2 linked regions of the Notamacropus eugenii genome follow. The protein of the gene in region 2 interacts with the protein of the main gene of each other region in a biochemical or structural test. Links are inferred from orthologs where the notes say so. Each region holds a gene or a part of one and is shown on either strand. Other genes may lie near its edges. The genes, in order: POLH and POLI.

Region 1 (3,920 bases), on a different chromosome or scaffold from region 2:
AGAGGAACTTACAGAGGCAGGTTTGGCCTTGAAATGAGAAGAAAACTTCCTACCAGCCAGAGCTGTCCAAAAATGGCACTGGCTGTCTCATACATGCTACGCACATTCAAACAGAAGCTGGATCACCACTTGTGGAAGGAATTGTATAGGAGATTCTTCTGAACAAACTCTCTCCTATCTATCTTTTCAGCCTGATTTCACTTGATTACCCTTAAAGCACTTACATCCTCCAGCCAAACTGGAACTCGCTGCTTTGTGAATTCAGTTCTCCATATCTCACCTCCAGAGAATTGAACAAACTATCCCCTAGTGTTGTACAGTGGAGACAGTGCTCGGCCTGGAGTCAGGAAGACCTAAATTCAAATCCAGCCTCAAACATTTAGTAGGTATGTGACCCTGGTCAGGTAACTTAATCTTTATCTGCCTCACTTTCCTCAACTATAAAATGGATTGTTGTGAGAAGCAAATGAGACAATATTTGTAAAGTGTTTGGTTTGGTGCCTGACACTTAGAGGGGTTTAATCAATGCTTATTTCCTTCAGGAATGTGTTTGACTAGATGAACTCTGAGGCCTCTTCTGACTCTGTGATTCTATGTATGTCCTTATCTGAAGCAGCTAGTTGGTGCAGTAGATAGAATGCTGGGCCTAAAGTCAGAAAACCAATCTAGAGTTCCAATCTAGCTACAAACATTTCCTAGCTGTATGGGCCTGGGCAAGTAACTTGATCTGTTTGTCTTAGTTTACTCAACTGCAAAATAAGGATAATAACAGAACCTACCTCCCAATGTTACTGAGGGGATAAAATGAGATAATAATTGTAACAGCACCTAGCTAAACAGTGGGCACTTAATAAATGCTTGTTTTCTTCCTTCTTTATCCCACTACTAGACTTTTAGCCCCATCAAGTCAAAAAGAATATCTTACATAAACTGTATTTCCTTAGAGTCTAACACAGTCCTGTGCACATGGTATGGGCTTAAATAAATATTTCCTGCATTGAATAGAGTATGTCAAACATAACCCTTTTCAGGTAATTTGTGTGATGTTGAGAACTAATGAACTAATAAAGCTCAGAAAATTTAAGGCACAAAAACAGATAACTACAATCTAAAATATTACAAGTATATTACAAAAAGTGTAAAAGCATTAGGCATAAAGAGGAAGATCTTTACCTTCTATGGGCATCAGGGAAATCTTCACATAAGAGGTAGCATATGATTTCAGTTTTAAAAGATGGAAACAAGGTGAAGAACAGAACAGTTTTCTCATCTGTAAAATGAAAGGATTGAATTAGATGATCTTTAAATCTTACTCTAAAAATTCTCAGTGCCGAAAGCTAACAATGTAACGTCAAGTTTGATAATGCTTATTCAAAAATTCAATTTATCAGAAGCATTGGTAAAAACTACACTATAAGGACCTAGTCTGTGGTTACACAAATTTTTTTAAAGTTGTAGGAGAAATTAGATGAAACTGTTGATTAACTTTGGCTTTCAGTTTCATCTGTGAAATTCAATTTTATCTCCTTTCTACTAAGGCTAAGCAAGAGCAAAATAGATAAAGAAGAAACTAAGTTTTGATATAATAGCCATTCTTTTAAGAACAGCTAATGTCCACCTGCAGGAAAAAATTGTTTATTAGTTTGGAGGAATTATTAAGAATACCATGTGAGAGAAATATGTTTTGGAAGGTTTCCACTTAACCCTAAGAGGAATTTCTTCCTACCTTCCTATAATGAGGCAATTTGAAGGTTCTTGATAATCATAAAACCTGGGCTAGAATGGGCTAAAAGTAACCCACATTTGAAAATTCTTTTTTTCACTTAGTTTCATCAAATTCTAGTTAACTAGTCTGTAGCATGACATAACACAAAGACTCTTTCTTGGATTATTTAAACTACCACTTTTTAATACTGCACAAAATAGCCAGTTAAAAGATTAACTCACAATTCTACTAGACAGAGTATGAATGACTTTATTCAGTTTATGTATTTTGCTACAGAAACCAGCGTACTTTTTAAGTTTTAAAGCAACCTGAAATCACTAAGGATAATTCAGTATGGTTACTATATATAATTCAATAAAATATTTTAGAGGGATCAAAATTGTGTTGTTCAGTTGTTTCTGACTCTTCATGAGCCCATTTGGGGTTTTCGTGGCAAAGATACTGGAGTGGTTTGCAATTTCTTTCTCCAACTCATTTTATGGATGAAGAAACTGAGGCCAACAGGGTTAAATAAAGTACTCAGGGTCACACAGCTAGTATCTGGGGCTGGATTTGAACTCACAAATATGGTTCTTCCTGATCCCAAGCCCAGTGCTCTCTTTATCTACTATGCCAATTCAACAAACATTTATTAAGGGCCTACTATGTGCATGAAGTTGTGCTAGACAGTAGGAATACAAAGAAAGATGAAACAATTTTTGTCCTCAAGGAGTTTACATTCTCTTATGAGACAACAAAAATGTACATAGAAAGGTCAATATAAAATAAATACAAAATAGCCACAGTGAGGTAGGAAGAATACTAACATATAGAGGGGGAGAGATAAGTAAAGGATTAATTTCAGGAGAAATCTCTTGGTGCTGTGCCTTGAAGCAGTCTACAGATCCTAAGAGGCACAAGTAAAGAGGCAGTAAATTTAGGACATGAGATATTTGACTATGAAAATGTCAAGTTTGGAGAAAACAAGTTGGCCAATTTGGCTAGAAGAAAAATGCATGACAAGGGGTCATGTGCAACTGTCTGGAAAAATAGGTTGGTTAGGGTTAGGTGGTGGTGGGTTTCAAATGCCAAACAGGAAAATTTGTATTTTATCCCGGGAATTTGGCAACTGACTGGACACAAGGGGTGAGGGAGAATGAAGGAGTGCTGATGACTCTGAAGTTGCAAACCAAGTTGTCTGGAAGGATGAGGAGGGCCCTTTACAGAAACAGGGAAGATGGGAAGGGGAGAGAGTAAGGGTAGGAAGATAATGAATTCTGACTCACTAACACATGAATTCTTTATCATCCATCAGAACAGCCGAAAGCTTCTAGGAGAGAATAATTGAGCTTGGGTCCGGGGAGAGAACTTGATCTTTTGCATGATTGTACATGTATAACCTATATATAACTTCCCATCTCAGAGAGATGAGGGGGAGGGAAGGAAGGGAGAGAATTTGAAACTCAAAAACGTTTTTTAAATGTATGTTAAAAATTGTTTTTACAAGTAACTGGAAAAAATACAATATTCCCAGATAGGACTTGGGTGAACCCAAGACCAACACAGAAAAGAGCAATGAGATGGTATTTCTAGAGAGGAAACCTAAATCACTTACACATTTTTATTTGACCTCTTTATTGAGGACAAAGGAAACGGAAAACCAAAAAAGTATAATTCATTAGGTAGTAAGGTTAGTGATATTTATCATTGTTATTAATCTGGAAGTTGGAGTGAACAATGCACAAGTATATTTCAGAGTGCTTAGGAAGTACTAAGTTGAAAACCACAGGAAACATAAATGAGCAGAGAGGAAGGAGTATAGATGTAAATAGGAGACAGAGGTTGACAGTTGAGCACCCAACCATATTTTAAGCATCCAACCATATTCTAGAACAGAAAACAGGATTCAACTGGTAAAAGTTATAGTATGTCTCAATGCTATTAATTTGGAAATGTGCAAAAAAAGATTAAGAAAATAATATCTCTTTATTATTTGAGATATCTGACTGAAAGAAGGAAATCAATTTTAGTTCACTGAACAATAATAGCTAAAGAAGGATGTAATATATCCGCAGTTTAAGTTCTCATGTAACAGAGATAACTCAGCCTTGGAAAGTGGATCATGGTAGCAACTTTATGAAACTACGAAGACGAAAAAGAATCAGACTGCCAGTGGGGAAAAAAAGGCACTTAAAATAACAGGAAAGATTAGAGG
Region 2 (3,920 bases):
CAAATATTAAGTAACAATTAGGCTGAAATACAAGATGCAGCTGGTGGCAGACTGGAATTTTTGGGCCTGATTTCAGAAAGACCTGAATTCAAATCAAGTCTCAGGAACTTAATAGCTATGTAACCCTGGGTAGGTCATTATCTGCCTGCCAGTTTTCTCCACTGTACTATGGGGATACTAACAGCACCTACTTTCTAGCTTTGTTGTGAGGATCAAATGAAAGAAGATTTATAAAGTCCTTAGCACAGTGTCTGGCACGTAGTGGATGCTATATAAATACTTACTCCCTTCCCCCCAACAAACTCAATTTCCCAATTGCAATGAATGGCTCTGCATTGCCTTTATCTTTCACAAAACCATCTACTTCTGCAGAACTTTCGGCCTACATGGTAAACTTACACTCATCTATGTCAGAACTAAAACTTTTAAAGATTGATTCTTCCAAGTATGGTCCTGTGAACTTTGGAGGTATTCTTCAGGCGATCCACAAGGCCAAAACTATTCCCATTATAATACTTAGACATATTAATTTTTAATACATTATCAAGAGATATAACCCACATAAAAGCTCTTTGGGGTCCTCAATAATTTTTAAGAATATAAAGAGATCCTAAGTTCAAAAAGTATGACAACCGCTTGATCAAATCAACCTTTGTATTTCATGAAGGAATGAAGGTCATGAGAAAATAACTAAGGAAGGTCACACAGCTAGTGAACGGCAGAGTCAAAATCTGAAGCAAATTCTTCTGGTTTTAACTATGTAGTCTTGTGTTTATTTATTCCAAATTCAACAACACTACCTGTGGTTAATTTTTAAAAGTGCAAATATCCTGAACTTCAAGTACAAGGATTGTGTTTTATACTGTTTTATATAAAACAGCAAAGGGCCCAGCCCAGATAAGGGGTTCAATAAATTACTGTTGATGACAATGACTTTGACAAATTCCAAATTTGTTTTTAAAAAATCATTTAAACAAAATTTCAGTGAACATTTGTAGATGGTCTAGAACCAGTTAATTTTGAGTATCTGCTATCCCTTTTAGCCAGGAAAAAAGGATATTCAGGGCCGAGGACCATTTTATATTTTTGGTCATTGCAAGAGTTGCCATGGCCAAAAAATTTCACCATCAGGTGGCCAACCTTCTGGTGATTAGAAGTGACAATAATATCTGATATTTATCAGGAATCATTTCTTCCCCAGAAGAAATTTGAAGAGCATGCTGTTTCATTTTTTTTTTTTATCTCTCTTAGTACCTAATAGTGCATTATACACATAAGGCACTGAATAAAAATTTTTGAATGACTAGATCACATCAACCAAATAATAACAGAAGTAGTAGTTATTCTCACATTTTAGGGTGGGAAACAAATTCAAATAATTTACTTATGAATGCAAATAGGAAGTAAGCAGTGAAACCAGCTAGGCCTGAAGGTCCATCCAGAAATAAAACTAAGCTATTTATTGGTTTTGCACTGACAAGTGTATGTGCCCATATCTAAATTTCTTGCTCTCTTTGCTTCAGATGATCCATTTATAAAGTAATGATTATAAAATTCATATCCCCTTCATTACTACTTATTACAGTACAGGAATCACTTTTAAAGTTTTACAATACTAAGCTGAGTAAAATGGAATGGAATGGAACACAGTAACAACAAAAAAGCAATTCTAACAGATTTAGTGCTTAAATATAGAAAGGGAAAGAAAATATGTAAGTCCAGAAATACCTAAAGGTTTGCCTTTTAATTCCGGATGAGAGATCATTTCTACTTGTGCATAAAAGCAATCCAGATCCACGTGTACTATGACTCTGTAGGAGGCACTTTCTGCCGGCACAACTTGACCATGAACTGCTGCACCACATGCAAAGGAATGCAAAATATTTTCAGACTCCTGACCCTAGGCTAACAGGGTAGGGTGGTGGTAAAAGATGGTGAATAACAAAAGTGTGGTCTGCCAGGCTTAACAGTTTTGTCTTTCCCTGACTTACCCTATGAGCCAAGGTTTTAAGTTATAGTTTTCAGAATACTCCAATGGATTAAAAAAACAAAAAAGCAACTTTTACCTGACATCTATACAATTTAGCACAACTGCTTAATTCCGAAAAAGGGAAAAAAAATCATAAAACATAAATACCCTCCTGGAAGGAAGATGAAGTGATTTAGATAATTTCCACGGAACTAGGGGAACCTGATTCCTCACGCACTTCACTATACTCGGCCCACGTGGCTAACGTCAGGGTCCAAATGGCGGGGAACAAGAGCTGTGTGTTTTAGAGCTGAACATCCCCACGAGCAGACTTGAAAGCTCAGGCAAAGGGGCGATAAGGGCCCAGGAGAGGCCGCCCTGCCTGCCCCAAGCCACAACCCAGCCAGATCTCTCCAATCGCCAGGCCGTGGGTGGGGTGAAGCGGGCGGGGAAGGGCACCCCGCCCCGGGGCCACAAGCCCTGCCCCTGCCTGCCCTGCCCCCGCAGGACCCATCTCATCATCCCTCCCCAGAGCCACGCGGGCAACAGACCAGCTCCCGCGTGGACCGGGGCGGGACGTCACAGCTGCTCAAACCTTGAACTTGGTGGGAGGGCCTTTCGTGTCTCGGATTTTTTTTTTTTATAAATAAGTTTAAAAAATGTTTTTGTTAATGCACCCTCGCTTGCCTAACACGTGGAGAAGTAAAAATACCCTCCACCCTCCACAGGACATCCCGGCAGCCCCTGGGGCTCACTCCAGCCCTCCTCTGGGCCAGAGCCGGGGGGTGGGCCCTGGGACCTCTCGGCGGAAGCCCTTCCCGGGGAGTCTGCCCTGGGGCGGGGCCGCGCCCTCCGCCCCCCGCCCCCCGCCCCCCGGCGGGCCGAGGCCCTTCCCCCTCTCCCCGCAGCCGCTCTCATTTCATTTACAAGGAGCGAGGCGGACGGCCTCCACGGGCCCCGTGGCGCTCTGAGAGCCTCCTGCCGCCCCTAAGAGCTGAGAGTCCATAGTGTCTTCCTCCTCGTCTTCTTCTTCGTCGTCCTCGTCCTCCTCTTCCTCCGGCTCCACCCCTAGCGTGTCCATTCCGCGGCGGCCAACCGCAGCTTCGCCTTCCTGTCGCCTCCGCCCCCGTCGCCCCGGGAAACGGCGGGCTCACAGGTCCCGCCCCTTCGGGGCCTTGGCGGAAGGACGAGGCCGGCCAGCCAATTAACGGCGGGGCGCACGCGGGCGCATGCGCTCTCCTCAGCCCGCCCGCCTGCCTTAAGGGAAACGGAAGCTGACGCCTTGCTTCTGACGGGGAAGTCCCTCTGGCACCGAGCTGTAGGCTAAAGTCCCCACGAGAGAGAACGAAAGCTCCAGACTAGCCATATTTAGTTGACATCGACAGAAATAGCCCTACGACACACGTAGGTACTCCTCCTTTGTAAGGCGTAACCCCATCCGTTAGCCAATGGCCCAATTCCCTCACTGGCCGGCTCTCGACTAGGGGGACCACGGGAAAATGGGCGCCATAGGAGATATTAGGGATTTGCTTGTTTGTTTGTTTATGAGTGGGCATTTTCCTTCCACCCTTCCCCCTAAGAAGCCTCTTAGGTAATGGCTTTAACTCAGTCCACTACAAATAAGATTAAAAAAATGTTAACGGAAGAATCAGAATTTAGATCTACGTTTTATATGTAGGGAAGTGACTTGTCCAAGGTCTTGGACTTCCTTTGCACCACATGAAACTGCTGCTGGAAAAAGCAGGAATGCCTGGGCTGCTACTAAATAGCAAAACTGTTATATATCTATGTCTATATATTTATATATATATCTATAGTGATGAAAATCAAAAGAAAGAAAAAAATCTCAAAAACTACAGTCTGAACAGGTTCACCCCTGGAGAACCTTGAGAAGTTTATGCGGCAGAGGTGAGGGTGCTGTTGGGATTAAAGAAATGGGAAAAGAAAGGCT

What was found.
Region 1: the proteins of POLI (region 2) and POLH interact in far-western blotting, tested with the Homo sapiens proteins (2 studies listed by BioGRID). The link is inferred for Notamacropus eugenii from reciprocal best matches to the Homo sapiens genes POLI and POLH.

What each region holds. Positions count from the first base shown.
Region 1 is NC_092873.1:106,529,723-106,533,642, reverse strand, and holds the start of POLH (DNA polymerase eta), read right to left. Parts: upstream 3,063-3,920; 5' UTR 3,014-3,062; coding exon 2,992-3,013; intron 1,271-2,991; coding exon 1,174-1,270; intron 1-1,173. UniProt on the Homo sapiens protein: DNA polymerase specifically involved in the DNA repair by translesion synthesis (TLS). Due to low processivity on both damaged and normal DNA, cooperates with the heterotetrameric (REV3L, REV7, POLD2 and POLD3) POLZ complex for complete bypass of DNA lesions.
Region 2 is NC_092875.1:436,982,234-436,986,153, forward strand, and holds the start of POLI (DNA polymerase iota), read right to left. Parts: upstream 3,051-3,920; coding exon 2,897-3,050; intron 2,799-2,896; exon of another isoform or gene 2,138-2,798; intron 1,855-2,137; coding exon 1,729-1,854; intron 1-1,728. UniProt on the Homo sapiens protein: Error-prone DNA polymerase specifically involved in DNA repair. Plays an important role in translesion synthesis, where the normal high-fidelity DNA polymerases cannot proceed and DNA synthesis stalls. Favors Hoogsteen base-pairing in the active site.